Arabidopsis thaliana: one gene and its partners. The protein of the gene in region 1 interacts with the protein of each later gene in a pairwise test. Each region holds a gene or a part of one and is shown on either strand. Other genes may lie near its edges. The genes, in order: AT1G06510, TRX-M4 and TFIIIA.

Evidence for each region.
Region 2: the proteins of AT1G06510 (region 1) and TRX-M4 interact in a two-hybrid assay, tested with the Arabidopsis thaliana proteins (one large-scale study listed by BioGRID).
Region 3: the proteins of AT1G06510 (region 1) and TFIIIA interact in a two-hybrid assay, tested with the Arabidopsis thaliana proteins (one large-scale study listed by BioGRID).

The regions. Positions count from the first base shown.
Region 1 is NC_003070.9:1,987,635-1,997,588, forward strand, and holds AT1G06510 (forkhead-associated domain protein), read left to right. Parts: upstream 1-4,594; 5' UTR 4,595-4,754; coding exon 4,755-4,911; intron 4,912-5,072; coding exon 5,073-5,272; intron 5,273-5,389; coding exon 5,390-5,826; intron 5,827-5,909; coding exon 5,910-5,949; 3' UTR 5,950-6,207; downstream 6,208-9,954. Other genes in the region: CalS7 (glucan synthase-like 7), read left to right, coding at 1-599, 686-736, 891-1,076, 1,167-1,411, 1,586-1,661; AT1G06500 (uncharacterized protein), read left to right, coding at 2,542-2,952; AT1G06515 (transmembrane protein, putative (DUF3317)), read right to left, coding at 3,317-3,329, 3,809-3,881, 4,250-4,334; GPAT1 (glycerol-3-phosphate acyltransferase 1), read right to left, coding at 6,536-7,405, 7,546-8,433.
Region 2 is NC_003074.8:5,186,289-5,196,540, reverse strand, and holds TRX-M4 (thioredoxin M-type 4), read right to left. Parts: upstream 8,301-10,252; 5' UTR 8,094-8,300; coding exon 7,832-8,093; intron 7,404-7,831; coding exon 7,084-7,403; 3' UTR 6,705-7,083; downstream 1-6,704. Other genes in the region: AT3G15380 (Plasma-membrane choline transporter family protein), read right to left, coding at 106-297, 405-632, 714-974, 1,059-1,418, 1,502-1,615, 1,722-1,795, 1,887-2,070, 2,171-2,316 and 2 more; EXPA12 (expansin 12), read right to left, coding at 4,559-4,874, 5,360-5,892; AT3G15357 (phosphopantothenoylcysteine decarboxylase subunit), read right to left, coding at 8,946-9,377; UBC25 (ubiquitin-conjugating enzyme 25), read right to left, coding at 9,872-10,201.
Region 3 is NC_003070.9:27,109,883-27,120,666, forward strand, and holds TFIIIA (transcription factor IIIA), read left to right. Parts: upstream 1-5,138; 5' UTR 5,139-5,154; coding exon 5,155-5,331; intron 5,332-5,468; coding exon 5,469-5,609; intron 5,610-5,759; exon of another isoform or gene 5,760-5,925; coding exon of another isoform or gene 5,926-5,934; intron 5,935-6,032; coding exon 6,033-6,477; intron 6,478-6,639; coding exon 6,640-6,875; intron 6,876-6,975; coding exon 6,976-7,119; coding exon of another isoform or gene 7,120-7,205; coding exon 7,206-7,346; 3' UTR 7,347-7,627; downstream 7,628-10,784. Other genes in the region: AT1G72020 (TonB-dependent heme receptor A), read right to left, coding at 373-445; AT1G72030 (Acyl-CoA N-acyltransferases (NAT) superfamily protein), read left to right, coding at 1,005-1,334, 1,422-1,474, 1,556-1,943; dNK (P-loop containing nucleoside triphosphate hydrolases superfamily protein), read right to left, coding at 2,277-2,478, 2,566-2,633, 2,716-3,093, 3,178-3,636, 3,731-4,366; AT1G72060 (serine-type endopeptidase inhibitor), read left to right, coding at 8,612-8,654, 8,759-8,961; AT1G72070 (Chaperone DnaJ-domain superfamily protein), read right to left, coding at 8,969-9,091, 9,326-9,388, 9,532-9,726; AT1G72080 (uncharacterized protein), read right to left, coding at 10,422-10,429, 10,530-10,622, 10,709-10,781. UniProt on the Arabidopsis thaliana protein: Essential protein. Isoform 1 is a transcription activator the binds both 5S rDNA and 5S rRNA and stimulates the transcription of 5S rRNA gene. Isoform 1 regulates 5S rRNA levels during development.

The DNA of each region.
Region 1 (9,954 bases):
TTCGCACAGCCTTGGGTGATTTCATCATAATGCAGCTGCAGCTTGCCTCTGTTTTCTTCACGTTTCAACTGGGAACGAAAGCGCATTACTTTGGAAGGACGATTTTGCATGGAGGCTCTAAGTACCGAGCAACTGGTCGAGGTTTTGTTGTTTTCCATGCGAAGTTTGCAGAAAACTATAGACTATATTCGCGAAGCCATTTTGTTAAGGGACTGGAGTTGGTCATACTACTAGTTGTGTATCAAGTTTATGGAACTTCGTACCGTAGCTCAAGTACTTATATGTACATCACATTTTCAATGTGGTTCCTGGTGACTTCTTGGTTGTTTGCTCCATTTATATTCAACCCATCTGGGTTTGAGTGGCAAAAGACGGTGGACGATTGGACTGACTGGAAACGTTGGATGGGAAACCGCGGTGGCATAGGAATTGTTCTTGACAAAAGTTGGGAATCATGGTGGGATATAGAGCAAGAACATCTCAAGCACACAAATTTAAGAGGAAGGGTTCTAGAGATACTTCTCGCTCTGCGTTTTCTCCTTTACCAGTATGGAATTGTCTACCACCTCAACATCGCTCGCCGCCACACAACATTTCTGGTAAAGTATTTCGGCATATAAGCCATGATACTTCCCTCTTCGATAGCTTTGAAAATTTTAACAACTTTGCCCTTTTCTTCTCTAAGGTTTATGGACTCTCTTGGGCTATCTTGTTGTCAGTTCTTCTCGTGCTAAAGGTAAGGCCCTGAAACTAATCTGTTTTAAGCTTTTACCCACATCAAAACCAGAAAAGAATCTTCAGCCAACTCTATTAGATAGTCTTTGAGGTTTTAGGAAAAGGTTTTGTTTGTCTCTTGACATTTATGATTGTGTCGTTTAATCATTTGACAGATGGTATCAATGGGTAGACGGAAGTTTGGTACAGATTTTCAGGTTATGTTCAGGATTCTCAAGGCACTTCTCTTCCTTGGTTTCTTGTCAGTCATGACTGTATTATTTGTCGTCTGCGGCCTCACGATCTCGGATCTCTTTGCCTCCATCCTCGCTTTCTTACCTACTGGCTGGGCTATTCTTCTTGTAAGCCCACACAACTTTCTTAACTGCCCATAAATAATCTGTTCTTTCCATGAGAAAAATAAGTTTGTAATCCGTTGCTATGTTTTGAAGATCGGGCAAGCGCTGCGTAGCGTGTTCAAAGGATTAGGATTCTGGGACTCGGTGAAAGAGCTAGGGAGAGCTTACGAGTATATAATGGGGCTTGTGATATTCACACCCATTGCTGTCTTATCGTGGTTCCCATTTGTGTCTGAGTTCCAAACTAGATTACTGTTTAATCAAGCCTTCAGTCGCGGTCTGCAGATCTCTATGATTCTCGCCGGAAAGAAAGACAAAGAGACACCTTCCACCAAGTAGTGAGGCTCAAACCGCTCTCTTCTTCTTCTTCTTGTCCAATTTTTCTTTCATCTCCATTCTTTTTCATCTGTTATTACTGTTTACTAGATATGTCTTTGAGAAAATAGAAAAAATGTTTAGACCACCTGAGACTGAGAGAAGACCTCATACTCATAGTAAATGTTGTTCTTCAGCCTAGGCCATACGGAAGAGTCCTTTGGACTTGAACATGATACAAATACCTTTAACCATTATTACCTTTGGACTTGAACATGATACAAATACCTTTAACCATTATTAATCTGTCTATGTAACAAAAGATGTGTCACTCTATTCTTCTTTTTTTCGTTGTCTCTTTTATATGATTAAACAATGTATTGAGGTCAGTGGAAATTACACTTCGATCCTTGTCACTGTTCTAAAACATCTTAAAACCAACTATTGAAGAAGATCACTGAGAAAGTCAGAAAATCCATATAGACCAAAGGAAGCTCCTTTTTGGTATGTATGCATTGCCTCTGTTATCTATTTGCGAAAATCTGAAGATTGGTTTCTCTACCGAGTGTTTTATACTTTGATACTTCATCTAAAGCTCTAGGCTTTTCTTATTTTCCTTGTTTGGATTGTTTGTTTTCGCTCTAGGGTACGCCAAAGAGGACGCTCTCTGAAAAAAGAAGAAGGTAATCTTCGATTCAATGCAGAGAGTTTTATCAGACGCATGAAATTAGGGTTTTAGTGCCACAATTGGGTATGTTATACAGATGAAAATTGGAAAAGGTCTGGACTTTTCTGAAATTCATAACGTTTGAGTCGTTTAGGGAACTGTTATCTAGGCTGTCTAATTCCAGATCTAGTTCCTTACACATTGATTCCAGGAAGTATTGAGCCTCTATGTTTTGATTCTAGAGGCTTCTGGGTCTAATTCACAGATGTAGCAACGTTCCTGTATTATGTCTTTGTACTGTTGATATTTGCGAGACCCTCTTCTCTGTGTGGTTTGGTTTTGTTCAAAAAGAAAACATTCAAGTCTTCTTCTTGATATAATGGTTAAAACTGGTGCTTACTAGTATCGTTTTTCTTTCCCTTTGATTCATGATTCTTTTAATTACAGTGGTTCGTAACATAATCTGAACCCGAGGACACACACACGATGATGCATTCGACGGTGCAGCATGGGGGAAACAAGAGTGGCAAGTCAAATGTATGGGCTAATACTAACTTGGCAAAGACAGTGGCAGCTGTAGATGAGTTCAAATTTGGATTCCCATCAGGCGGGTTAACAACTGTGTCAAACAAATGGTGGGGAAGGGCAGAGAAAGGCGGACGAGAAGATGGTGGAGGAGAGAACACTGAAAATGGACATGTAGCAGCTTGTGATGAGACGCAAAATTCTTTGGTAGCTATTAGGAAAAGAATAGCGGAAGAAGGAAGAGAAGCGGTTGAACTTGGTCTGCATCAAGGATTTGGTTCAAAAAGACCAGGCAAGAGAGATCAAGCTTTGCTGTTTCAGATCTTCAACTCTGCAATGCCAAAGGATTGGGTTACCCCTGATTCTTCCTAAGTTCGTTTGTAGATTTAGAACAGAGCTCCCTCTTAAAAATTATGCTCTGTTATATGTAATCCGCAAGTTCATTAACTCCTGCAACTATGTTATTATGTCTCTAAGTGAACTGGAAATACAACAGGAAGACTTGCGATCTTACGAGTCTACAAAATCATTTCTGTTAATTGCAAAAACATGGGAACAAATAATATAGAGACATAAGAACTGTCCTAGAGCCTTTGGAGGAAAATTAACAAAAACAGAGGTGACGCCGAAAGAGGGATTTTTGCTGGTATACGTCTCAGAAATTGGAACCAAACGTACATGCCTTTGGATGATCTAGGCTTTTCGTGCTCTACTGTGCGAGAAACAAGACATGTTTTCATGTCAAATGCCTGCAATGCGAGGATACAAGAAATTATCATGAAAGAGCTTCAATTGCTTCTCAAAAGTTTCGAACAATCAGCATAATAAGATTCAGATAGCAAGCAGCAGCAGTAAGTCCATCAGGCAAACTAAAGACTTCTCTAACTCCAATCCAATCACCTTCTGGGGAGGCTTAATATCTACCCTAACTAAATGCACAAGAGAAGGTAGGATAATGTTTAAGTAAATGATGGACTTATCCTTTTGTGAAAACATATACTACGAATCATGGGAAACCGTGAAACTTGTTTCAGAGATGAAGATGAGGCCAAACAGCATATTGTATCATAACACTCATCACTTAGAAACCCGCTAATGAAACCATAAGACCAAAGTAGCAAAAAGAACTAGATAAGTACCAAAAATTGTTACAACAATAGCAAAATTAGTGTCAAGGAAACCTTAACAAGCTTAAGGTGTGCGCAAAGAGCATCATCAAGTGTTTTACCTCTGGAAAAGCTCCGAAAAGTAGCGAGTACCGTTGTATAAAACGAACCACATCAAAACAACCACCAAAGAATCTGAAAAGAGTTGAGGAAAGGCAAAGAAGATGCAAGCAAAGATCTTAAGTCCTTGTAAACTAGCAAAAAATTATCTCAATTGACAGTATATTATTCAGTAGAGACTATAATCCAAACTCTGAAGTTGAAGACAAAATTTTAAGAAAGTAGCTTTTTAAAAACAAAATTCTAAAATTGAACAGACACAATGCTTAAGACGACAACACAAGAGAACAGAACACAATGCCACCATATATCACCAAAGATGTAAAAATCAAAACTTGCATCTTTCTAATGAAAGGGTAAATCGAAATTGGAGCACAGATAAACCAAAATCGATGGAGAGAACGAATGAAGCATGGAGGGATAGAGTGAGGAAAAAAGGATACTGAAGAGGTATCGTTCCCACCAATCAAGCATGTAGAGCCCGAATGTGACATTATAAAGGTAGATTTTGCGTTGAACCCAGTTCATATCTTCTGATCGATTCCTACAGTAAGAAGCGGGAGATTACAAATCTGAAATTGACAAAAACCTGATCCAAGATTCAAAATTTACCCGGTAAATCTCTGACAGAGAACTTGACAAAGATATACTAAACAGGATTACAAAGCGCCTGGAGATTCTCGATCTAGGGAACTGTATCTGACTCCAGATTTTGATTGAAGTGTCGTCGTCAAATACAGAAGAGAAATCAAATTTTGACGGAGACGTCAAAGTTGGAAAACTCTGTCACGGTAAATACTAATCTCATCCTCAATTCATTTTCCCACCCCGGTTTAGTCTTAATTACCGGTTTAGATGAACCAGGTATTCAAAATCGGTTTGTAGAACTAACCGGATAACGGAGACTGCAATGTCACAGAACGTGTGCGCTTTGTAAGAAGACCAAACATGGTGACGACGACCATCGGCGGAGTTCCGGTGGTGATTGCTCAGTCTCGGAGGATTCCAACGAGCCTGAGATGCTTCTCTGCCACCGCAAATTCTGACCTTCTTCGCTCCCAGCTTGATCGGCTTCACGCGGAGGCAGAGTCCACTCGTGCCAAAGGTGGAATCTTTATTCGCTAATCTTCGTTTTAATGTGTGATTTCAAAGTCGTAGACTTTGGAAAGATGAGGTGCTGGTTTCAGCATGGTTTTACTGCTTGTGAATCCAGTGATTGATGATGTCAATTTGATTTATTTTTGGTCTTTGTTGTTGTTGGTCCAGCAAACAGTAATAGGTTGAGACTTTTGAGATTATCTGAGGCTGCAGAGAATCTACGGGAACAAGCAGCTGTCAATGTTCGAACAGGGAAAGAGAATGATGCCAGAGATCTACTTCTTCAGAAGAAAAAAGTTATGCAAGCTTTGGACAAGGCTAAAGCTCGTATCGAGTTGCTCGATACGCTTTCTTCCAAACTTAACGAGGTACAAACAAACAATACTCTTACTTGTTAAGAAATGTTATTGTTTTGGTTGTTTGTTTGTTTTCAATTGCCCCAGAAATCTATCTAACTATGTCTTGAAAGCTTGGTTTGGTTTCAGGCAATATCTGTCAAGGAAACACAGCTGATAGGCAATATATCTTTGGATCTCGAAGAGGATGGAGAGAATACTTCAGGTGGTATCCACATTGTATCGCCAAAGCCCGAATCTACTGAAGACGGGGTCGAAAATGACCACACTCACTTGGATTCTGAGGGAATTCAACTTATTGAAAGGAATGTTGAGGATTACCAAGAACTTCTTGATACCAATAATAATGTACTAGAAGATGTTTCAATAGGTAGCATCCTGAAAGAAGTGTCTTCTTATGAATCTTTCTTGGAAAATTTAGACCAGAAACTTAGCAGAATCGAAGCTGAACTAGTTACTGTTGTAAATGTTGCATCCTTGGTGCTTAATCATGAAGATAAACCCAAGAATCTTAAGGTTCAGCAGACTGCAGAAATTCTTGAAGAGATTCGTCGTGTGAGGGAAAGGTAATGCATTCAAAGCATCACTAAGTTTTACTTCTAACACTGCAGAATTACTCAGTCCATTAAGTTTTGTTTTGCTTGTGTAGAATCGCAAATATCATTTGCAAAGAGGCAAACATCAGTTAGTGTGCTTCAAGCATTACTTACCAGCGCAGTGAACTAAAGAAAGGAAGCCACTCTTGGTATGAAAAGTTAATCTAGCAATTTTCCTTTCTTTAATCATTCTGTTTAGACAGGTATAGTCATTTTCTTGGTGTGAATATTAATATCTTCTAAGGTGATACATTAAATTTTGATGTGATATGAAGTTAATATGGTCGTTCACGTTAATGTTGTTGTGATATGGGATCATGATTATTAATGTGATATCAATACTTAGGAGCATCATTAAGTAAATAATAAGTGAATAACATACTATTAGATTAGATGTATACAATTAATATTGATTTCAACTAACTCTGAAATCATTTCATTTGTTCTAGGAATAAAATTAATGGCACTAAAGCGACAGGTTGAGATTATGGACTATACAAATCCAGAAACAAAATCATATAAAGCAAACATTTTCAATACATATCAATGGTCCCGAGTGATAAGAAATAGAAATGATGCCAATGAATCAACCATATAGAATTAAACATCTAAGTCCTGAAATAACAATAATATTTAGCTTTTCAAACAAACAAAAAAACTAATGAAAATTCGGAATAGTTTATCTGACAATGCCTTCATTTCCAGCAAGAACCAAGTACTTATCCCTCCTTGTGAGATTAGTGCATTCAAATCCCAAAACCCTAGCAAGTTCTCCCTGTATGAAATTCGCAACTTCAAAGCTTGACTTGCCTCCTGCACAAGTCATCTCTTTTGGCAACTTCTTTAAAATCTCAAGACAATAAACCGGCCTAGGGTTCATGAGGAAGAAGATAGGGTCTAAACACTTGAGCCCGCTCGCAGTTGTCCCATAGAACATGCTCACTCGAGCATCTACAGCCACGGGAACAATGTCTTCAGTTAACTCAGCGAACAAAGGACTGAACCTTAGTAGATAAGGCTCTCTACATGTGGTTCCCTCCGGACAAACCACTAGATCTCCTTTGCTTAATAGTCTCTGCATTGCCTCACCGTCTTTCTTCCTATCTCTTTTAAGGCTAACCGTCTTGAGAGGTGCTATGAACTCGGAGAACTTGCTTAGGCTGTAAGTAACCGCGGTCAAGGGCTTGCCCAGCGAAGTGGTGAGGAAAACTGGGTCGAGGAGGGTCCTATGGTTGCATACATACAAGACTCCACTATTACCTTTCTCTGGACGACCGTTATTCAAATTATGGGTCTTGAAAGTGATCCTAACACCGGACATAGAAGCCAAGAAATTGGCTACATGGTAAGGAAGAAAGACTCCTACCGAGATCCTGAAGACAGCGAGTAAAAATCCGATAGGGAGCCATATGAACATGGCTAATGTAGCTAATGGTGTTGGCAAGAAAGCCAATCTCCCGTCGTGGAATATCAGTGGCTTTGGGTATCTTTCTCTAGGCAATGCGTTGTTCTTGCTCATGGACTCTTCTTCATTCCAAAAATAAGCTTCCTGTGTGGGAGATTCAGAACAAAAGAAGACGTTCTAAACTTTAATCTATTTTTGTGAAATTTGAAAAGTAACAGATATGACCTTGTAGAAAACTTAAACAAAATTGAAAGTTAGTAACTTTAAGAAGGAAAGGAAATTACTTTGCAAATGGAGATGAAGATGTGATCTTGTGGGCTTGAAGAGCTTCCAATTCCAAGTGCAGGCTTCTTCTTGCTATCAAAAAAGTAGTCTTCAGCTGATTTATGTTTCAGGACGAAACCAGAACCAGAAGCTAGGCCTGTGTAGAATTTCCTTCCCATGACTTTTATTTCTTGCAGTTTAGTCCCAATCACATCATCAGCGTTGAGATGTTCTCTGAGGAACCTCTCCACCAGCACTTGCGGCAAGCTCGTGAACACAACTTTGGAGTACTCAGTTCGAGCCCAGATGTCGTAAACTTGGATATTCAAGTTCTCGAGGAAGAATTTTGGTAGAACCGATCTAGAAACATTGTCCATGTCTTTGACTCTAAGACCAGAGAAGGTTATGAAAGAGAGAACTCTGAGTTTGGTTTCTTGTTGCAGAGTCCAAAGGAAAGAACAGGAGAGCAAGAGAAGGATCGCTCTGATGATCGATCCTCCTTCAAAAGCCACGAGCATGAAGTAAGGGAAGAACGTGTGGAAGTGTTTGCTCGAATGTTGTCTTAATAAAACACCATCGATATCGCAGAAAAAGGTATCACGATAATGATCAGACGAAACAGAGCATGCTCTGTTTTTGTCTAGAAGAAGTTCTTGGTATTTTGTAAGGCTTGGGAACAGAGGGTCTAGAGAATCTTGAAGGGTTTGGTTAGGGTGATTTTGTTGATGATGGTTATGAAGATGATGCTGAGAATTGTTGTGTAGAGATTGTGTTTTGGAGAGGCTTAGGAGATTTTTTAACTGGAAACCATAGCCTCTGAGCTTTCTAGCAGCTCTGTAACATGATTTAGCAAGAAGACGGTAAAGAACCCATTCTGCTAGAATCACGAGAAGCTCTGGTAAAACCATAGCTATGGCGTAGAGAGAGAAGAAGAAGAAAAGTAAATGTGTTGGAGAAGACAAAGAAGTAACAGAGGAGGTTTATATAAGTGAGTGATGATGATAGGCGAGTGCAAAGGTGGTGTGAAGGTTGACCCTTTTTAAAAAAATTTGCTTTTAAATTAACTTCTTCTTTTCTATTTTAATTTTGGTTAACCCACACATCTCTCTCGCATTAACTCAACGACACAACGTCTATAAAGTTTTTATCTAATCTACACTTGAAATTAGAATGTGTGTTTTTGTTTGTTCCCAAGAAGTTATGGTTTTGATGATTATACATATTTAGCATACGTAAATTCAAGATATATATATAAAGAATGAAACAATACATTACCTTATAGTACACACATAAATATAATAAAGCTAGTACCGTATAGTCCAAGGTTATTAATTATCGGCTACGCAAGTACGCAAGACACTTTCTAGTATTATGTTGTGAATGATGCAAGTTGGCCGCTTTATTAAAACTGTTGAATGTTGTTGCGTTGCTTTCTCAGCTTCCACTTGGAGGGCTTTGGGGCAGAGCCATGCTGCATGTGTTAGCAAAAATAAATTAAAAAAAGCAATTGCCCTAGGCCACAAAAAAAAATATGAAACTTACTTTCATCATTAGGTTTAAGTATTTAGTTTTATATAATTTGTTTAGTTAAGCTCTTTTTAAGAATTTCAATTATTATTATCACAAAAAGTTATGAATATTTTGACTATCATATCTTCAGAGAGGAAGTAGGTTAGAAAATTCAATCATGTAATTGAAAAATCTTTCATTTGGGTTTTTTTCCTTACTTATATAAATCACGTCAACCATACTAATCTATTACACTACAATCATTCAAAAACATATCAGTTAGAAGAAAAAAGAAAAGAAAATATTTGCCATTATCTTTAAGACAAAATGTCTTCTTATCCCAGATAAACATAATAATTTTATCAACGAAAAGGTATAACGTAGTCTCAATAAGTCAACCGTTATCCATATATATACTTTCATAGTGGATAGCAGTTAATTTGATCCTAACCTAATCGCAGATTACAAAACTAATATATTTCTCGAATCTAACCAAATGTCTTCAGGAACACAACCATATGTGAACAGGATTACTTAGAATTAACGCGCATGTTATTGTTTTTTTGTATTTTTTTTGTCAATCATTTAACGCGCATGTTTTATAGGTTGATTTTCCCTCAAGTTTCAAAGATTGCACTTTTTTCTGCCAACTCCAAGATATGGAAGAGCTTTAACAAGTTAGGTTACGTAGTTGGTGACAGGCTCTTCTTTATACAAATTTGCATACTTTTCAATGTGCTATGTTTTTTTTTTCCTTTTTGAGTAAACTTTGTTGACGTAAATGAGGAGATCTTTATTATCATCACACATCATCTGAAAGAATGAAACTGAAAATTTGACTTTTTAAAACAAGTTGTGTTGCTCTTATGAAAATATTGAATGATCGTAATTAGTGCATCCAAACAAACGTTTACAATATC
Region 2 (10,252 bases), on another chromosome or scaffold:
CATTACAATATGCTTAGAATGTTGTAGAGATAAAAGATTCTATTTTAAAAAACCATATAAACCGGCCAACCAAAGAAGAAACAAAACTTATACAGTATGGATCTATCAGTGAGTAAGACTCTGAACCTCTTCCTCCTGATTGCTATCTAAAGTTTCAAGCAGAAGAGGTGGTGCGTGCTGAGCATTCCCTTGATTCTCCTCTGAGTCTTGACAGAAGGAGAGAATGATGGTGTCTATCGACATCTCAACCACCGCAAAGAAAAGTGTTGCCACAATATACCCCAATGCCCAACATGCCTGTGCATAGAGAGAGTCACAAGCAAGCAAACCTATTTAAGCTAAAAAAAAAAACATCTGTCTTTGTATTTACAATTGAGTCTAGAGAGCAAGGAAAAGGATTTTACCAAAACAGGTAATAGCGGGGATGAGACTTTGTTGTGAGAAGCACGATATCGGTGCGAATCCAACATCAAGAAGCCAAAGAGAGCACTGAAGAGACTCACACAAAGCTTTCCTAGAAACAATATAACATCTCCTATCACATTAACTTTCCCTATCCTCAGAATGTTGCTTATGATCAGCTCTGTCGCGATTGCAGACGATTTGCAGAAGCTTTTCCCTGTTATAGCAATCTGAAAAGAGACCGAGAGACAGACAATCTATCAAGAAATGGTTCAAAGAATGGGATCTAAAAGAAGGAGATTTTCTGTTACCATTATGTAGGCATTACGGTTAACCGATTTGATGGTCCACTCCACACTTTTGAGACAACCACGTGAAGTGTAATGAGCCATTCTCCAAAACCAGTGATCAGGTATGGTCCCGCTTACTTTTGTTTTACGACGAATTGCTTCGAGAATGAACCGAACAGACTCAACAAAAGAGACAATGAGTGAACCAAGAGCCACGGATCCTAGGTTGTAGCGTGCAAGCCGCTTCATTGATGCGAAAACAGGAAGAAACGGTATCTCTGGCTGAATTGTTCAACCATAAAACCAGAATCAACACATAATAATAATCTACAGTTTCATATATTTGCTCAGAATTGTTTAGCTTACCGATGCTTCCCCTTGAGCCCAATAATAGGAGGCAACAGAGCCAGCAATCACTGTCGCAGAAGATGCAATGAAGAACTGTGTAGCCCAATAGCAACCAAACAGGTGGAAGAATATAGCAATGGTGATGTGAGGGGTGTAATGTATGCTATAACCGCAACAACGGTCACAATTAACTTTCTTTAACACGAGATCATACGCACAGCAGTTAGTGTTGTTGCAGTTGTTCTGAACAACTTGACCAGAACTGAAGAGATGGAGAGCCGCTGATATCCAGAACATATAGAATATTGCTAGCATCGCGAACGGTATAGCCGGGAATATAATAAGCGCTTGAACTTCTCCAATTACTTTAGCAGCTACCTGGATTTCACAAGTATACAGCAAAATGACCTTTCTAGCATAAACCAAACTGGTCACCAAGTGACTAAGAAAGTAATACTCGCCTTGAGGACTGATGTTGCCATGAGAATTCGGCGGATAATGGCAATTGAAGTGAGAATAGCAACAACAGAGATAAAAGTCATCAGAATGGCAACTCCACGAACATGAGTCAGTTCCTGAGGAATAAGCAGCAAATGTAAATAAGCTTGGAAGAAAATGGGACTAATGGTCTCATAATTTAGTGAATGTGAAAGCAGCTTAAGGCTGAGAATGTAAACTTACTCGACCATACACATGAAAGTATGGGTCATGCTCACCAATAATAGGTGTTACAGCATCATTCCCAATCCATCCAGCTACAAAAGATATAAAAGTGTAATAAGTATATTGAGTCCATATGACTTGAAACATAGAGACATACAATAGAAATATGATTTCCTAACCAACCTTTCAGGTAATAGAACACTGTGACTGATATTAAGAGCATGTTGAAAAGGACAACAGTTATCCAGGGCATGGCGGCAACAAAATGTCGAATAAGAAGCAGCCAAATAATGGATAGAAACAGTGGAACAAGGCCTCCACAAACGATCAATACTGGCCATGACTTCCCAATATCAGCCACATAACGCTACGATTGACAACCAACAAAAAAGCTTAGAGCATTCTTCAAAAATCATCACTTTACAAAGAAATGTTTACATGTCAATAGAGAAGAGGATCCTTCTAACCTTTAGAACTGAGGCACGAGAGTTCATTGACCTTCTAATTGATTTGTCTATGATCATGTCCTCTTGAATATTAACACCACCCATCTGCTGCCAGTGGCGTAAGGATGAATTTGAAGCACGAGCAATATATTGGCAGCTCCAATAAACTAAAGAATCAAAAGAACAAACCTTGTTACAAAAAAGCAATAGAATAGAAAATAAGAATAAGCTTTGTGTGCCTCTTACCATTCACACTAGGGAATATTACAGGGTAACAAGGACCCTGAAGCTGAAGAGAGGAATTCCTCATTTCTGGAGTAAGAAACTCAAAATAATCATAGTTCCTATCGATCCAATCATTCATCTTGAGACGAATCTCGCCGTCAGGATAGTCACATACCCAGTTGAGAGTATCATCAGAAGGTGCAGGGCAATCCAAGAGACAAATAGTTCTAGCATTAGCCAATTTAAGTTCCCCATCTTTCAAACCACTTTCATAAACTTGGTTAGGGTTTAACCAATATCTAAGCTCAAGTTGAGTAAGGTCACGGTGACGATGCTTGCTACCACACACATTCCCTTCATAGTCCAATCCATATGTGAGTCTGCAATAACAGTTCATATAAGACATCACCACTCAAAAACGATATTTGATTAACACAGCACAATTCACTGAACAAATTAGCACAACTATGTTCTATAAATTGAGTTCACACCAAATCTCTTAACTAAAGAACACCAAGCAGAAGAAAAGTAGGAACCTTATAATACAGATATAAAGGTACAAACTTTGGTATAATAAAAGGTAAAATCAAGCAAGATTAGCAAAACATTTAAGGTTCTAGGACGCTTTGTTTGTCCAAAGAGATTTGGAGCAAAAACCATTACCTTAATGGGTTGCCTTGGTTGAAACCAAAGCTGGAATTGACAATCATTGAAACCCAAAAGGCAATGAAGATGATGAGAAACGTAATATCTCTGCACTTTCTATTGTGCTTGATGATCCCATCATTTGGAGCACTCCCATCACTTGAAGTATATCTTCCAATCACTGCTCCTAAAGGTCCTCTCATCTTTGCCACAGCTATGTCTCTTCACAGTCTGAAAAACCCTCGAGACCAAAAAAAGGAATTTCGGAGAGAACAGCACACAGACCTTCTTTACTAAGTGTCTTCTCTCTCTCTCTTTCTCTGTGTTCATTGTTCGAGAAGAGAGTGTGAAAGCACTTGAAGGGTATTTATGTCTTTTTCTGTTTAAAAGTTATTTTCTTTTTGGTAAAAGATAAAATTAAATGGTTTCTGTTCAATCTTATATCATCCATGGCACATGAAAAGAATCCATGTCTGGTTCTTATGGGCTTTGAGATTTCTTATGACCATTTTTAAATGGTTCCTTTAATCCTAGTATTAAACCTAATTTAAAAATCTTTGTTCTGTTTTTTGAATAGATTTTAAAATCAAGCTTTTTTTTGTTCTTATTCTCTTTGAGATCTGCAAGACTGCAACTGTAACGCCATCCACTTCATTAAAAATACAATGATTCCACTTTTTCTTTGTTATATTATTAAAACATGAATAAAAAATGGACCAGAGTTATGTATAGAAGAAATTGATGACAAAAAGAAAACAGCTTTTTATTCATTAAAAGCTCACATCAATCTGTTGATAAGGAACTGAATGTGGTGTGAAACCTTCATCTATTTTTTGTTAATCTCTCACAAACATTCTTCCCAAGTTGGAGGGAAATTTTTAATAACCTTCCCAAAAGTAGGTTTTAGTGATATTTAATTAACTTTCTAAGTATATTTAGTTTGTATTTGAAAAATCAACAGATTGTTTTTTAAAAAGCATGGGCCAGCACCTTGTTTTTTAAAAATTGTTTTTATATATTTATTGCTCTGTTTTATTTATTATAGTTTTTATATATTTATTTTATCTTTATGTAAGAAAGAATTATTATTATTATTATTATTATTATTATTTTATAGAAAGAATTATTTCATTGACAAAAAAAAGAAGATAAAGAGTTATTTCAAGTTACGTACCTGACAATGTCGTTCTTTTTCAATTAAAGCTAGCATGTAACATTACATTTATATACTAATCTGTGTTTTATGAAGCTTTTATCTGATAATAGTCTTTTTTCATGGTGTCTATTAGCTCTGATAATTTTGTTGACAAATGAACTTGTAAAAAATGTTATTTCCATTAATATAAATTCTGCAAAACTCTTTAACTTGTCGAGTAATGCTTCATACATAAATGAGAAACCGTTCCGTTAAATAAAATTAAGCATGAAATTATTTAGCAATAAAAGAGAAACAAAGGAACACTGCCCAATTAAAACAAGGGCAAGTTCAGAAATAAGCAAAGAATTGCGTTTTGACCAGAGCACGACTTAGTTTTGTAGTTAAACGAATTGTCTTCCTCGAGAAGAGAAGGTTTGGCCAAACCACCAAGAAGAAGGGACAACGTTCAAAAATGTCTGCGTTTTGCTGTCCGTCAGAGTAACTTTGAAGGAGAGTCTCTGTCCCCGGAGATCACCGGAGCTCTGCCAGTTGGCACCCCAATTACGGGTCATCTGAAGCCAAGTCTTTCCCTTTGAGCCTCTCACCGCTACTGATCTCACCGAGCCGCCACCACCAACGTTTGAGATCATTACCATATTGAAGTTACCTTGCCCTCTCATCGTGAACCTCACGCCTCCTCTTCTTTTGCATCCCACCCTATATATACACATTACAAAACTATTAGATATTTTGCATAAATATCACAGTAATTACATGCTATATTTTTATTTAACTAAAGTCCATTTAAACCTTTTTCCAGATTCTTTTGAAGGATTGGCCTTGTTTTTGTTTTTTTTTTTTCTGTTTGTGAGCGTACGTATATGTACATGTTATAATGTGATGTTGATCTAAACTTCATCCATTCTTTCCTTATAAATTTTGCTATAATATATAATGACCTAGCTTGCTAATGATCATTATAGCAAAATAATGATATGTAGATGAAATAAATTAAACAATAATGTTAATAACTTAAAATAATGATAGGGTTGTATAATGTTCTCTACCTTACATTTTAAAAAGAAAAAAAAAAAACTCCAAAATATACTTTAATGTATAGTTTCAGTTTATTAACTTATCAAAAAGGATGAACACTATATGCATAAAAAAGCAATTGACTCCTATAGCATCGAATAAGTTACCGGCGATAGAAGACGGGGACGATGCCTTCATTGCCGCGACGGGCAATGCGGAAGAAAGCGGGGGAGGACATGTCAAAGTGATGGCGAGGGAGATTGCACCAACCATTATTGTTATTCGTTGGGCAAAAGTTTGTAGCCGTCACCGTCACGGCGGCTCCTCGGAGACACCACTTAGGATCCGCCGGAAAGTCGCACCTCACCTGGTAGCACCCACCGCATGACTCACCGCTTCTGAATAGCTCACCGCTTAGCGCCGCCGTGTGTGCTCCGAATCCGGCGTGGTACGGATTGTCATACCCACAAGCTCCTCCTATAAAATTGTATCTAAAAAACAAATTTACCATACAAACTTTGAAGTAACAAAAACGTATATTAAACAATAGTTTAATGGCCTTTTTACCAAGTGAAGCAGGGCTATCATTGACACCATAATACGTTGCATGAGCTCTTATCCAACCGTTAGAACACATCCCCACACTTAACGTACTAACCAAGAGAATAACCGTTACTAAGTATGTTCCCTTCATATCCATATATATATATTTTTATTTTATTTGAGATAAGTATAAATTTTTCGTGATGAAAGAAAGAGAGGTCGAGAAAAGAAAGCTTTGAGTTCACAATTGATTGCTTATTTGCTTGAAGAAGAAGGAAGACATTTGGACTCGTTTTATAAGGATCTATAATAAGTATTAACGCGTTTTGTCGGTGATTATTACGACTTATTTTCACTTACATGCACCACAATCTCATGCATGTGTTCGTTATCTTTCTTAGTTGGATCTTTCTTTTTTTATTGCTCTTGAAAATTCTATAATAATTGAATATAGGTCTAAACACAGGGGAACATAATTTCCTAGTTGAAATACTAAAACACTTTAATGTCATATAGCTATTTTTTGGTGAAGTAGTTAATGAAAAATATTTTTGATATGTCCATATAGAAGCATATTAAGTAACAACATTTTAGTTTCTGAGGAGAATTACCCATAACAAAATACTAGTATTTGAAATACTACAAGATAATGATATTTTTAGCTCTGGTTAGAGATTGAACTGCCTTGTAATCTGACTGTAACTAACATTTGGTTCCGAGAGGAAAATGATGGAAGAGAATGGCAGAGTTGACAAACGTTTTCGATATCTAGCTGTATATTTAGTTCAGGATTTCGTATCTTAATTATTCGGTGCTATCAAAGGTTGGGAATTTGAGATCTAAGTTTCCTAAGTTTTAGTCGCGAAATGACCTGTGTAATCCGAGATTAAATATGGGAATCCAACTAAACTGATTTAAAAACGAAACGCGTTTTCTCCTGATCGTTTAGTAAAGACATGGCTTGGACATGCCACATAGTATATACTCACATAATTGGATTAGAAATCGAAAACATACATGATATAATATAAGATTACATAGACCCCCTCGTGGTATTAATATATGTCCTATGCAGTACACAGAATGAAACAGTACGGAAGCCTACATTACTCAAAACATATGTATGTATATAGATTGTACGGTGAATTAGGAAGAACAATGGCATGTGGTTCAACGTGGAGTTATGCTTCTCATGCGTCGGTGGATTACTTTGTTTCCATTTTTTTTATTGAAGAAGACAAAGAGGACCCACGATAACATAATAGTCAAAAACTTAAAAGACTTTACAGAGATTACAAGAGAGAAGATAAGGTAAAATGGTTCAGAGTGACAAAAGAGTCAAATTTTGTTACTCGACCAAGAATCTTTCTATAGTTTTCTCCAACGTCTCTCTAGGCACAGCTCCAATGATGCTATCTTTCTTCTCACCGCCTTTGAAGATGATTACTGTTGGAACGCTTCGTATCCCGTAACGGTTTGCTGTATTTGGGCTCTCGTCAGTGTTGATTTTGTAGAATTTGAACTTCCCTGCGAAATCTTTGGCTAGCTGGTCAACTATGGGGTGAATCATACGGCAAGGTCCACACCATGGTGCCCAGAACTCGACCAGAACTGGGACATCTGATTCCAGAACCTTTGTTTGCCATTCTGAATCAGACAGATTTGGTACTGCAACATCAAACAAACTAGTTAGATATATCTCAATGGTGATTGAAATTATGCAACTATCAGAGAGAACCGTTCTGTGAAATAGTATACAGAGCACATCAATGCTCAATGCCAACAAGACTCTGGTTCTTTCTTGAGTTATTTAAACCATATGCTAAAATCTTATCACAGAGTATCTTTGCTATCAATTTGTATAATCAATCCTGGTTTGATCATACAACAACTTGATAGATGAAGAAGTTGAGTATTCAATAACGTTGACTACAATGTTTTATCAGAATCCACTCCCTATGAATCCTAGTTTTAGAGAACTAAATCAGATAATACTAAAGACTAACAATCCAAGTAATTATATAGATGATGAAGTTGAATCCTCACTGATTTAAGGTTCAGATCTACGAGTTGTACTATAAGAAAACTGAAGTTACCTTCGACGGCGGCGGCAGTGGTGTCCTGAGCCTCACAGGCGATTCGTCCACCGCGAGCGATTCTGGTTCTACGATTCGCACCCAGACTGGCCGACTGAGTCACCAAACTCCGCGAAGACTTCAAACCTCTGAATTCCAGAAACCTGGCGGGAGAAATCCGGCGTCGTGAAACCGACGGAGCAGCTGAAGAAGACGAGACCGAAGCCGCAATCGGCAGAGAAAACACGCGGGTCACGGTGACGGAATCGAGTAACGACGCCATTGGAGCAGAGCAGAGATATTTTTTTGAGTGGTTAGAGGGTTTTTGGCAGATACGGGTGACAATTTGAATGACTTGAGAACACACACAGAGGCGAATGCGATTTTATCCTCGCCACGTCATTCTTTCCTTTGAGATAACGACAACGTTTAGAGGACTCCTGTAAACCGTCAATTGTTTTAGTAGACCGACTATCAAATTTGATTTCGGTTAGGCAGCACATCTGATTTCGGTTAGGCAGCACCGCACCAATTCGGTTAGGCAGCACTGCTATAAGGTCGATTCTATTTACGAAGACGGACATGTTCTTTTTTCATTAGTTAAGGTTGAGGATTGGACTCTTATATCACTTTATGAAAGGGTGTCTATATTATATATAGTTTAACTTTTCTTTGGAGAGTAATTTTTTTTCTTAAAACAGATTTGCATAAATACATATGGATTCTATTACTAAGCGTTATGATCACATAAATTAGAGAAAACTTGTTCAAAACTCGATTCCAAATAGTATTGAGCTTGTTTTGAGAGAAAAAAAAAAGAAGACAAAACTCGATTTGGGATGTTATAATAATCTAATCACCATCGTCTAATCGATACCATTTTAATAGTTTACTGAGATAGTTGCAACATTTTCGTCAGTTTGAGAATTTTTTTGTTCTTTCCCCCGAATGTCACATATATCATTGATAACCAAAACCACAGATTTAATAGTTAAAATGGGATGTGAAGAAAAATATACTGGACAAAGAAGAAGAAATTGTCATTTTAGAACCATTTCATCAAAGAAGGTTTATGTCTAAAGCCATTAATCTCAAGCAAACAAAAAACAGAAAGCATTTTGTGAAGAATGAAGAGTTACTTCTTCTTCCTTGTGTACTTGTCATCCTCCTCTTCCTCATCATCTTCGTCAGAATCTTCATCGTCTTCAAAGTCAACGTCATCAATCTCGTCTTCATCAAAATCCGTGTCCTCCTCTGAATCAGCATCTTTGTTGTCCACCACTCGCTTTCCATGAGCCGCCTCCATTTTCCCTACTCTCTCCGAAACGGCCTCCTTCTGAACGAAGCCGACACGTAAACCGGATTTCATAACCGGAAAAGTTTCAGAGTAAACAGGGTATTGGCTAGCCGCCGGCATCTGGTTAAAACAAAGCAGAGATCGAATGGCCGGTCCATTGTTCTGTACTGTCTCGGTGAGATTGATCTTACGTCCACGGAGGAATAGATTCGTCAACGATTTTCCGTCGCGGATGAGTGATCTCGCCGCCGATGATGAAGCTGAAGCCATTTTTGATCGCAGTGTACTGGGACTGATAAAGAGTTTAGGACGGCTAATATAAAGAGAGGGAAGGGTTTAGGGTTTTTAGTAGGAGTTGACACGTGGATAGACACGTGTACATTTACGTATCTCTTTTTCAGAACTGTAGTTTAGATTTTCAGTTGAAAGTACAACAACACGTCGGTAAAGTAAATCTGGTTCACATCTTTTGTCTTGATTAGGAGGGATAATAAAGCTTAAAAGTCAAAATCCAAACCTTGTATCGTTGACTTTTACTCACTTCTCTGGTAGCTCAGAAAATTGAGGCTATAATAAATCTGACTGATAAAGGGAACTGTACATATGAGAGTGACTTCTCAGTTCTCAATAGTCTTTTAAGATTTATGTCATAGTTAAGAGAAAAAAAGAGGATCCATGATTGTAAGAAGGGAGAAACTAATTAAGTCACCGGTTTCTTCAGAAATTAAGAAAAATTAAGGACAAAAAAAAGGGAGCAATGGAGATCAACTAGAAGAAACTCTGTCTCTCTTGGACCTTGATCTGGTACATTTGCTACTCTCTGCAACGATTATAGTCTCAGGTGTTTTTTCTTCTTCTTCCGGTTCGAGACCAAGGACACCTAGAAGAATAAACTCTTTCAACAGCACTGTCTCCACAAAGGTAGCCACATCTGTCCTAAACTTCAGAGAGCTCATGCCCGCGCTATTCTCTTCCACATCTGGAGCCCCCTTCACCAGATATCCCGGTGTAGCTCCGTTTCTGTAAGCATTACACGCCTTCAACACGTCGTGAGCACAGCTGAAGAAATGTCCATACGCAAAGTCTTCAAAATACTGTAGCATTCGAAAAACCACCAGAAACAATCAATCTCAAGTTTTAGTGAA
Region 3 (10,784 bases), about 25 Mb from region 1:
CTGATCAACCAAAACTATCAAAACACGAACATGGAAAATTTCCATGAAACAAGGAAACATCAAAATATGCATTTCTAATTTCATGATACAATTTTTCAGCCTAATCATAAACAATCTGTTTCGCATCACGCCATTAAAGCGTGTTTCTATGACAAATTCGCGAGCAGAGAAGTTTCAAATCCCAGAATTCAATCAACGAAGAATCGCATCGGAATCAATCCGCGGCTAATCAGAAACATTGATATCTAGGCAATCAAACAAAACCTTAGAATAATCGATTCCTGGGAAATCAAACAAAACCCTAGACAACAAAAAAGGGGAAAAACAAAGAAATGCAAAACCAATTCAGCAGATACTTCTATTGGTACTGACCAGATCTGGAGACTGATGCTTCGGAAGAAGCAATGATCTTAGATACAGATCTGATGCTGGTGCTCAACGCCATGATTCAGAACTAATCGAGAAATTGCAAATGATGAACGACTTCTCTGGAAATTTTACGGCGAATTTGTTTTGGGGAGGAGAGGAGACTGAGAAATGAGAGATGATATCACACGTGCAAAGCGACATCTTCTTTTGGGCCAGGCCCATTTACTCTTACACAAGGCCTTTATTTAACTGTGTTGTTCAAATATTTTTGTTTTAAGTAAAAGCTGACAAAAATGTTCAGAAAAAAAAAACTTTGGGAATTTTCTTAGGAATCATATAACATGTCAAAATAAAAATTCATGTCACTTTCTTTGATGAACATGAAATATACTAATTTTTGCTTGCAAATCTCCACGTGTAGAGTCACCATTTGTCCACGTAGCTGAACTATTTTATCTTTTCTAACCCCAAAAAAATCTCTGGATGGTCATGAGCTAGCGATGATTCTTAACCACAGAAAACAGACGATGGAAGCAAGAAGCGTATCTTATCTCTACGTTTCATATTAAAGCGCATGAAAACGAACATAATAAAGATTCTCTTTTTTTTTTTTGAAAAATGCTAGAAAAATAAACATGGGTCACTTGCCACAGAGCCTCTACTCCGCCGCTGGACCAAAGTTTCCATATCCTGGAAGCTCCGGTCTAGGAGTAGATCAACGGAAGCTGACGTGGAGCCGCTTCCCGGTGTTCCTACGGTGCGCGTCGACGGAGTCGTTAACGAGTTTGACTCAGAATAATGCGGCGGAGATAGAGTTGAAGTATCTGGTGAGTCAACACGGGTGGGACGTGAGGAGATTGAATAGAGACGACGAGGATGAGATCAGGAGAGTGTCTCTTGTTCAAGCCGAAGCTTTCCACATCCCTCTTGCTCTTTTTGATGATTTTTTCTTCATGTTTTTTCAGGTTTGTTTATTTTTCATTCTCATATATGATTTACATTGAAGATTATTGTTTTGATGTATATGAAGATTTTGATAATATGTAATACAGGCAGAGGTTCTATCAGCACTTCTTTACAAACTAAAGAATTCACCACCTGACAGGTAAAACAAATAACATAACATAATTTCTTTAAGACTAGTTTTTAAATGTGATTAATTATAAAAGTTTTAAGAATTTGGCAGATATGCATGTCTCGTGGCGGAGCAAACAAGTGAAACTGAAACTTTGTCGAGCTCAAGTGTTGTCGGAGTAGTTGATGTAACAGCTCAAACTGAAAGTTCAGTACTTCGCTATTTTCCGGGCGTCGAAGAATATCTATACGTCTCGGGTTTAGCTGTCTCAAAATCTCAAAGGAGAAAGAAGATGGCAAGTACATTGTTAAAGGCATGTGATGTTTTGTGTTACTTGTGGGGTTTCAAGCTTCTTGCTCTAAGAGCTTATGAAGACGATGCAGCTGCTAGAAATCTTTACTCGAATGCCGGCTACAGTGTGGTCGAGACTGACCCGTTGTGGACCTCTACTTGGATAGGCAGAAAACGTCGCGTTCTTATGAGTAAACGCTTTTCTTAGGCGTTTTCTTCATGTACATTTTGGTTAAAACAATAAACACACTACCATCTAATTGGATACAGAGTAAATGTGCAGAAACATGAACTGAACTGAAATTTTAGACGACCAACAAGATTTCAAGAAACAAATTATCCAGAGACCAAACTTTTATACAAAAGGGTTAAACTAAACGGTGGCACGACCATGTTTTGTTTCTACATCTAAGATGGACAAAAGCGGCAGCAAACGTTTTTTTCCTAAATAAACGATATAAAAGCCGATCGAAACTATTGACATTCAATAACCTGACACGCTCCCTTGGAGCCAACAAAAACAGAGTCAGTGAATGGACAGTCACGCAGACGGTCTAGTGAGGAGTGACTTGAGATCTAGAGGCGGGAGATCTAATCCCGGGACATGATTGCCTGCTGGTCCCATCCAGAGACCTCCATTCTGATGTGGTAGCAGTACCGGCGACTGACTGTTGCTCTTCTCTGTAGATGTTTCTTGCTTCTTCTTCACAAACTCAAAGAACTCAGCGACCTGGCGTGCATACCTTTTAACAACATCAATCAAGAAAGTATCTATTAGATTTATGATTCCAAATAAGTTATGGTGACATTACAGTAGTGTGAGCACTTACTGTGTCTTTGCTTCAATATCCCGGCTGAAGTCGATATTGGGTTCACAGTCCAAAACCAGAGCAGGGACCTGTTACAACCAATGAACCAGTCTAAGCAAAATCTATCTTCAGACTTTTAGCACAAAGAATGCAAAAAAGAGATAAGTTTACCTTCTGGATACTAGAATGCATATGATTTCCTTCCAAGTAAAAGACACGGTCCTTTATATCAGGATGCAGAGAGTTGTCCATGTGTAAAGATGGTCTACTAACAGACAATACACCATGGTTTCCGCTCTCAAAGGGAAGCAGCCAGCTCTCGTGCTTCTCGTGCAAATCTTGGAGGTATTTCAGAGAGACTCCGCCTTCTTCTGCTCGTTTCCTGAGCATCATTCGCTTGTGGCAAGTGTCTGGACTCGCCCTTAAGTATATAAACCCATCAGGAACAAGTCCAGGTAAAGAAGAGACAACCGGATCAAACCAAGAGTCGTAAATGCTGATCTCCATCTCATTCATCCATTTCGCTTCATGAACCGCACGCACAAACACCTAAACACCAAATTCCACAACATATTAAGTTTCCAATCACACATTTCAAACTATAAATTTTAATAACGTTGGCTTTAAAATTACCATTCGGTCACTGAAGACACTCCTTTCCATCAACCTGAGAGGTTTAACCCCAGAAGCAGACTCTTTCTCCTGCATCAGCCGAGTGACAAACACATAGTTCTGGAAAGTATAAGCATACCTCTGAGGCTCAGAGTAGAAAGCATCCAATATATTGAAATGGTCAGGTCCAACATCTTGCCACTTATCAACTGGCTCAGGAACAATCTCAACAAGGTCTTGTAACTCAACAGTCTCATTCGCTATCCTCTGAAGAAAAGTTGATTTACCAACACTGATGTTCCCTTCAACACAAAACGTCAAACGTTTCTTCACATTTAGATTAGGTTCAGGGCCAGAATCCTTAAGCTCATCATCCACACTCTCTTTAATAAACGTTGTTATACTCTCCGCATGGTTTCTATGTATAATCCCAACAGAGCTCCTAAGATAATCAACCATCTTCTGACTAGCCTTCCAAAACTGAGATTACAAATCAACCAACCAAAAATAAAGATTGAAACTTTCAATACTTGTCTCAAAACCCGCAAGTTAAAAATTGAAGATTCAAAAGTACCTTATCCTTATAAAGCTTCTTGAGCTCTGCAACATCACCAATCCCATTATCAACAAGCTTTCTCTGATTCCTTAAACCAACTCCAGGAATCTTCAGCAAATCTGGATTACCAACAAACTCACCACTTCCACTAGAGCTCCGGTTTCTACGGTTCATCCTCACAGGCTTCTCATCTTTCTCCTCGTCTTCATCTTCTCCGTCAGACTCTTCCTCGCTTTCAACCACTGCTCCAGCAGTAGCATTAACCGGGGTTAAACCACCAGTAGAGTCTGAACAAAACAACGCACGCCAAGACCCAGTTCGACCAACCCAAGCCCGGTTCGTACCGTCAATTGAACACCGGCAAGTCCGGTAACCAGCTGTTGAGAACCGAACAGACGCCGGTGCCGGTTTATGAACAGTCCTCTGTAGATAAGCAGAGAAACCAACACCGCCTGAAGAAACAGAAGCCGTTGTGGTCGGCATAGCGGAAGTAGAGAAGAAACAAGTGGAGAGAGGTTTAGTAGTAGAACAAGGAGGGAGATTTTTAACGGGGGTCTTAAACCCTAGAGAGATAAAACCGGCGGCGAGAGAGTTCACCGGCGTAGAGAGAACAGGGGTTGAAGAAGTGGTACTTTTGCACAGAATCTTCTGCATCGTTTCCGTTTACACGAGCATTTCACATCACTCAGAGAAATAGAAACCCTAGTTTCAGAGAGAGAAGGGGATAACAAAAAAGAGGGCTTTTGTGTGGGTTTTGGTTTGGCGCAAAGACAGAGGAAGAAGAAGAGAGAAAGTTGCGTTTTAGGGTTTTTAATTTTATTGATTAAAATCATTAATTTCAATTTTGTGGTGTGGTTAATTATTTAATTAATTAGAAGATATGATTATGGGATTAATACGTTTTTTAATAAATCGTTATGGGGAAAAAATGTTAAAAAATGGTGATGTGTCCTGTCCTTGAGGTGTTATTTGTCATCTTTACGAAGTTGTGTAGCACACATGACACGTGCGGATAACAAATAAGTACATAATCATTTTTTTATTGTTTAAAAAAACGCTTGTTTTTGAATTGGACTGGTTTTTTATTTGGGCCTACCCTTTGTTAAAACGATGACCTAATTGAGCTTATCGACTGTAAATTTTTCAAAAATGTTACAGATGCAGGGCCCATTAGATTTAATGGACCGATTGTGACGTTTCAAATTTGTTCCCTTTTTTCCTGGCACAAGTCTAACTTTTCGTTTTGCAAAGATCCCTTGTCTATTTTCTACTCGATTTTGCAAATTTGTTGTAATTCTAATTTAAATTTGTTATATGGGCTTGAAAGGCCCATTATACAATTAGAAGCCCAAGTGTTCTAGGTTAGATTTCTCACTCCCGGAAAAAAGAAGCTGATATATAAATGGCCATTGTTACTTCAGCTTCTACTGTGCGGCGTCTTGATGGAGGAGATAAACCCTAGTTCTTCTGTAGACAATAAGAGAGACATGGCGGAAGAAGCTAAAGTTGATGTGAAGACTTCGGCGAAGAAGGATATACGCAATTATCTATGCCAGTATTGCGGAATCAGCAGATCTAAAAACTATCTCATCACTAAACACATCCAATCTCATCATCAGGTTTGAGATCTTCCTCCAATTCGATTCCAATTTCTCATCCGTGGCATCTTGATTTGTTTTCAATGAAATTGAGAGTTGAGTCTGTAGAATCGGCGATGGTTTGTTGAATTGAGAGTTTCTATGATTCGTTTGTTTAGATGGAACTTGAAGAGGAAAGAGATGATGAAGCTTGTGAGGTTGATGAGGAGTCTTCAAGTAATCATACTTGTCAAGAATGTGGTGCTGAGTTTAAGAAACCTGCTCACTTGAAGCAGCATATGCAGAGTCATTCGCTCGAGGTAGATTTATGCATCCTCTTGTCATGAGAAGTCGAATTGTTCCCATTCTGTGTGTTGCAGCTACAGATGGAGATACATAGAGATACTCGTGGATTTTGCTTAGTGTTGAGTTTTGTTCTGGTTGTGAACTAAAAGTTTATACATTTGCAGGAAATAAATAGCCTTTTGTTTAAATCAAAAGGTCTTACCTATGTTATTGCGTGAGGCATTGGATCCCAAAGAGAGAACTCCAAAATGCGAGGCTACATGTTATGGACTAGTATCAGGTTGGGAGACCTCCTGAGAAGCTCCAGCAAGTAAGCCTCGATCACGCAAAATGTTTGAGGTCTGATGTTCAATAGCTTGTTTTGTTTCACTTTGCTTTGGACTTTCTTTTCGCCAATGAGCTATGTTTCTGATGGTTTTCACTCTTTTGGTGTGTAGAGATCTTTTACTTGCTATGTGGATGATTGTGCTGCTAGCTATAGGAGGAAGGATCATCTCAATAGGCATCTTCTTACACATAAAGGGAAGCTCTTTAAGTGTCCGAAGGAGAACTGCAAGAGTGAATTCTCAGTACAGGGAAATGTTGGTAGGCATGTTAAGAAATATCATAGTAATGACAACCGTGATAAGGACAATACTGGTTTGGGCGATGGTGATAAGGACAATACTTGTAAGGGGGATGATGATAAGGAAAAATCTGGTAGTGGCGGTTGTGAGAAGGAAAATGAAGGGAATGGCGGAAGTGGTAAGGACAATAATGGTAATGGCGATTCTCAGCCTGCGGAGTGTTCAACTGGTCAGAAGCAGGTTGTCTGCAAAGAAATTGGTTGTGGAAAAGCCTTTAAGTATCCTTCACAGCTTCAAAAGCATCAGGATTCTCATGGTAAGTGCACCTTCCTACCCTTACTTTCCCTCTAGTTTAGTATCCTGGGCATATGAAGATTTCTACGTTTCCTCTCTATGTGCTTTGTTATAAATTAAAGACAGTTGTTTGTTAAAGCTTGATAGATTTTCAATCTCTGAAGGTTTAGATTTACATTTGCAGTGAAATTAGACTCTGTGGAGGCATTTTGTTCCGAGCCTGGGTGTATGAAGTACTTTACCAACGAAGAATGCCTCAAGTCACACATAAGATCCTGTCATCAGCACATCAACTGTGAGATATGTGGTTCTAAGCATTTGAAAAAGAACATCAAGAGACATCTACGGACTCATGATGAAGATTCCTCACCAGGAGAAATCAAGTGTGAAGTTGAGGGTTGCTCTTCGACTTTCTCCAAGGTAAAGAAACATCCTGAGCTACGTCAAACTTATATAGTCCAAAACAAGTTTCGTTTCCAGATTATTCAACATCACTAATTACATTACGATTATTTCTCAGGCTTCTAATCTTCAGAAACACATGAAAGCAGTGCACGATGATATACGTCCCTTTGTCTGTGGCTTTCCCGGTTGTGGCATGAGATTTGCTTACAAACATGTCAGAAACAAGCACGAGAATTCCGGGTATCACGTATATACCTGCGTAAGTTCATCCAACCTACATACTATCGTGTTTTTCTTACAAACTCAAAAGACTAGAATCTCATGTAAAACTGAATGTGGTTTCAGGGTGATTTTGTCGAAACTGATGAAGATTTCACTTCAAGACCGAGAGGTGGACTAAAGAGGAAACAAGTTACTGCGGAAATGCTGGTACGAAAGAGAGTCATGCCTCCTCGGTTTGATGCAGAAGAACACGAAACTTGCTAGTAGTGTCCAAGCCTTAATTATATTTTCTGTCTTAAGATAAGTGAAGTAGTTTTGTGTAAAGTTCTTTTTGTTTGTGTGTTGGTAGGAAGAAATATAGAACTACAATAGTAGGTAGTAATATAAGTAATGTTGTGCTTAGAATCTATGTTCGTTTAACCTTTTATCTCCCACGGCTTTAATGTATTGAACCCAACGTTTGAGATATAAGTAATGTTGTGCTTATAATCTATGTTCGTTTAACCTTTTTATCTCCCACGGCTTTGATGTCTTGAACCAATGTTTTTAAAACTGACCCAAACAGTGAACCGGACTACCTTTTGGGTAAATATTAATAGAGATTTTACAATTTTTATAAATAGAAAACAAAATAATCATATTATGTTTAATAGAAAACAAAATAATCATATCATGTTTAATAAAAAAATATAAAATCATATTATGTTTGATAAAATATAAAATCATTTACACCAAAAAAACATATATATATATATATAAAATCAAACAATAATAAGAAAGTGATTAAAAATTTTAAATTCAACTAAATGTCTAACATCGTAACAAATATAATAGAAGATCACTAATGATAGAAACAAATTAATGAAATATCGTGAATTCAAACAACTAATCTCATTTGCATATATCACCATTCGATTCATTTTTAAGGCCGCATTGTGAAATCTTCACCAAAATCTAAAACATCAAATGAGTTTAAGAACTAAAAAAACTTATAAAAATAATTGAAGAAAGTTTAAAATCCCACATTTTATTCCAAAATGAAGAGAATTTTTTAAAACCCACATCCGGCCGGTTCAACCGATTCACCGGGTCATGGATTAATGGCGAATTTTTGTGGGTTTTTTCGGTTTTGAATTTGTCGGGTTTTAGCACTAAACCCAAACCGGAAAAGTGTTCGGGTCACGAGTTAACTGGTCGGACCGGGCGGTTCGGGTCGGGCGTGAAAACACTGTCTTGAACCCAACATTTGAAGATAAGCTTTATGGGATGAGATAAACTCCAATATTCAAGTCTCTCTTTGCGTCTCATATTCAAACTGTAATGAGATAACATTTCATTACAGTTTCAAGATAAGCTTTTGGATGAGATAATGATCTCTTAGTGGTTTAGTCAAAGTAAACAAGACTTTGACTGTTCAACTTCAACCCAATCAAGAGTCAACGGTCGGAGTTATTCAAAACACTAGTTTTTGAATTTAGTAGCTTCATCTATATATAACCCAGGAGAAGCAGAAATCTTCCAAGAAAGAAATGGTTACATACAAGATTTGGGTGATGTCTTTCATCATAGCAGGTTCAACTTATAAAAAAGGAATTCCTCTCCTCAATTTGGTTAGCAATTACACAATCAGAAATTTAATCAAATTTTGTGTTTCATTGTTTTGAAAAATCCACTAGGAGCTATTTTAGGAGGAATAATCCCTGGAGTTACTACAACAAAGACAGCGATCGCGTGTCCTCTCTATTGCTTACAAGTAGAGTACATGACATGTCCTTCCTCCGGCGCTGACAAGCTTCCTCCAAGATGCAACTGTTGTCTTGCTCCCAAAAATTGTACTCTCCATCTCTCTGATTCTACTACTATCCATTGTAGCAAATGATATATATCTAGTAAGAAATACCTGATGGTATCCCTCCTTCGAATCCCATCCATTCCTCCCACTCATCGATTTCACCCATTTCTGTAATCTCCATTTCTTCTTCTTCTTTCTTAAACTTTTGCATCAAACACTGAAAATGTGATTAATATAAGGAAAATGGTTTCAATTACGTTTTACCATGGCTAATATTAAACACCACATATTCAAAAAGTTAAAGATAAGAAAGAATCAAAATCAGAAAAGCAAACAAAATACGGGTTTGTATTTTTTATTCTTAACTTAGAAATTTTTTGTCCAAAACCAAAAAAAAACTTAAATAATCCAAAAAAAATCAAGAAATCAGAAAAACATTTTTTTGTTTTACCTCGTAAGCGGATTTGATCTCCTTGAAATCTTTGTCCTGACCCTTGTGAACATCTGGATGATACTGCAATAACTCATTTTGTCTTATTTAGTTATAATCCTTCTTTTTATTTTCTTGATTTGATTCGTCAAAAGGTTTTGAACTTTCTTTTAAAAAAAAATTAAAAGCGTAATAAGACGCAAAAGGGACAAACAAGAATTAACAACCTTTAGAGCGAGACGTTTAAAGGCACGTTTGACTTCGGTTTGGGAAGCGAGAGGAGTCAAGCCAAGAACCGTGTAATGGCTAAGATCTGGTGATAAACAACATCTTGTCGGAAACTGGATTAACCGGCGGCTATCAGTTTGGATGGTGGAACCAGGGTGATTCGTCGGAGCTTTGAACCGGAAATTTCGTATCATCGTTTCTTCTTCTTCTTCTTCACCAACCAAACATTTTAGGTTTATAACAAATCTTTTTTTCTTTCCCTTTTTGTGGGACTTTGGTGAAGGACCCTTTTTTATCTTGTACCCGACGGTATGGTCTATTGGATATCCTATTATCCGATTCACATTCCGATGTCATGTCGGTGTTTATTTATTTATTTTTATATTTATGTGTTCCTTTGTTCTCGGTTTTGTTACTAGCTAGGACGATATAACATTATATGTGTTAAAACCTATATTGTTTTGTGTAAACTATATTCTGATTTAAAAATTAAATTTCGTCCCATAAAAAGATTGAATCCGAGATACTTAAATCAACTTCATGATATTAATTATCTCTAATCTACCCACCCTTTTTTTTAATGTATTTCTCACAATAACCATAAGTAAATTTACCGATAATATGCACATGTGCTGAGGTGAATTGTGACAACTATGAGATATTTTTCTCCAAATTTATAAAATTTCCAACAAAACAATTATATGAAATTTCGCCATATAGAAGTTAATTTCATAACAATAATCCCACATTATTCTTTTAAAAAAATGAAAAATAAAATGCATAATCCAACATTGTTCCAAATTTTATCCAGAGAAAAAAGGAAAGACAACATTGGTACTCTTTTTTTTTGTCTAAAAACATGTTGAAATCGTCGTCCGCTCCTCCCGTTTTAGAAGCCTGAAAGATTCATAAAATTATAGGTCACGATCACAAACTATAACAAGTTGTTTTTACATATAATAATAATTTGAATATAAAAGTTAAGGTTTATACTAACCGAGATAAAACATCGATGGAATTGGGAGTTTATCCAATAAACTACGGATATCGTCCTCATCTTCTAAGATCTCTTCGTCAGTTTTAGGAGGAACTGAAGATTTACCAATAAAGAATCAAACAATAACATTTTTGTCAAGTACGCTAAGTAACAAAAATAGTATAGTTTAACGTTCTCACCTGTTTCATCAATTTTACAATCACTCTCTATGTTATTAACTGCCACAACGTTGTCGTTGGCATCAGTACCATTCTG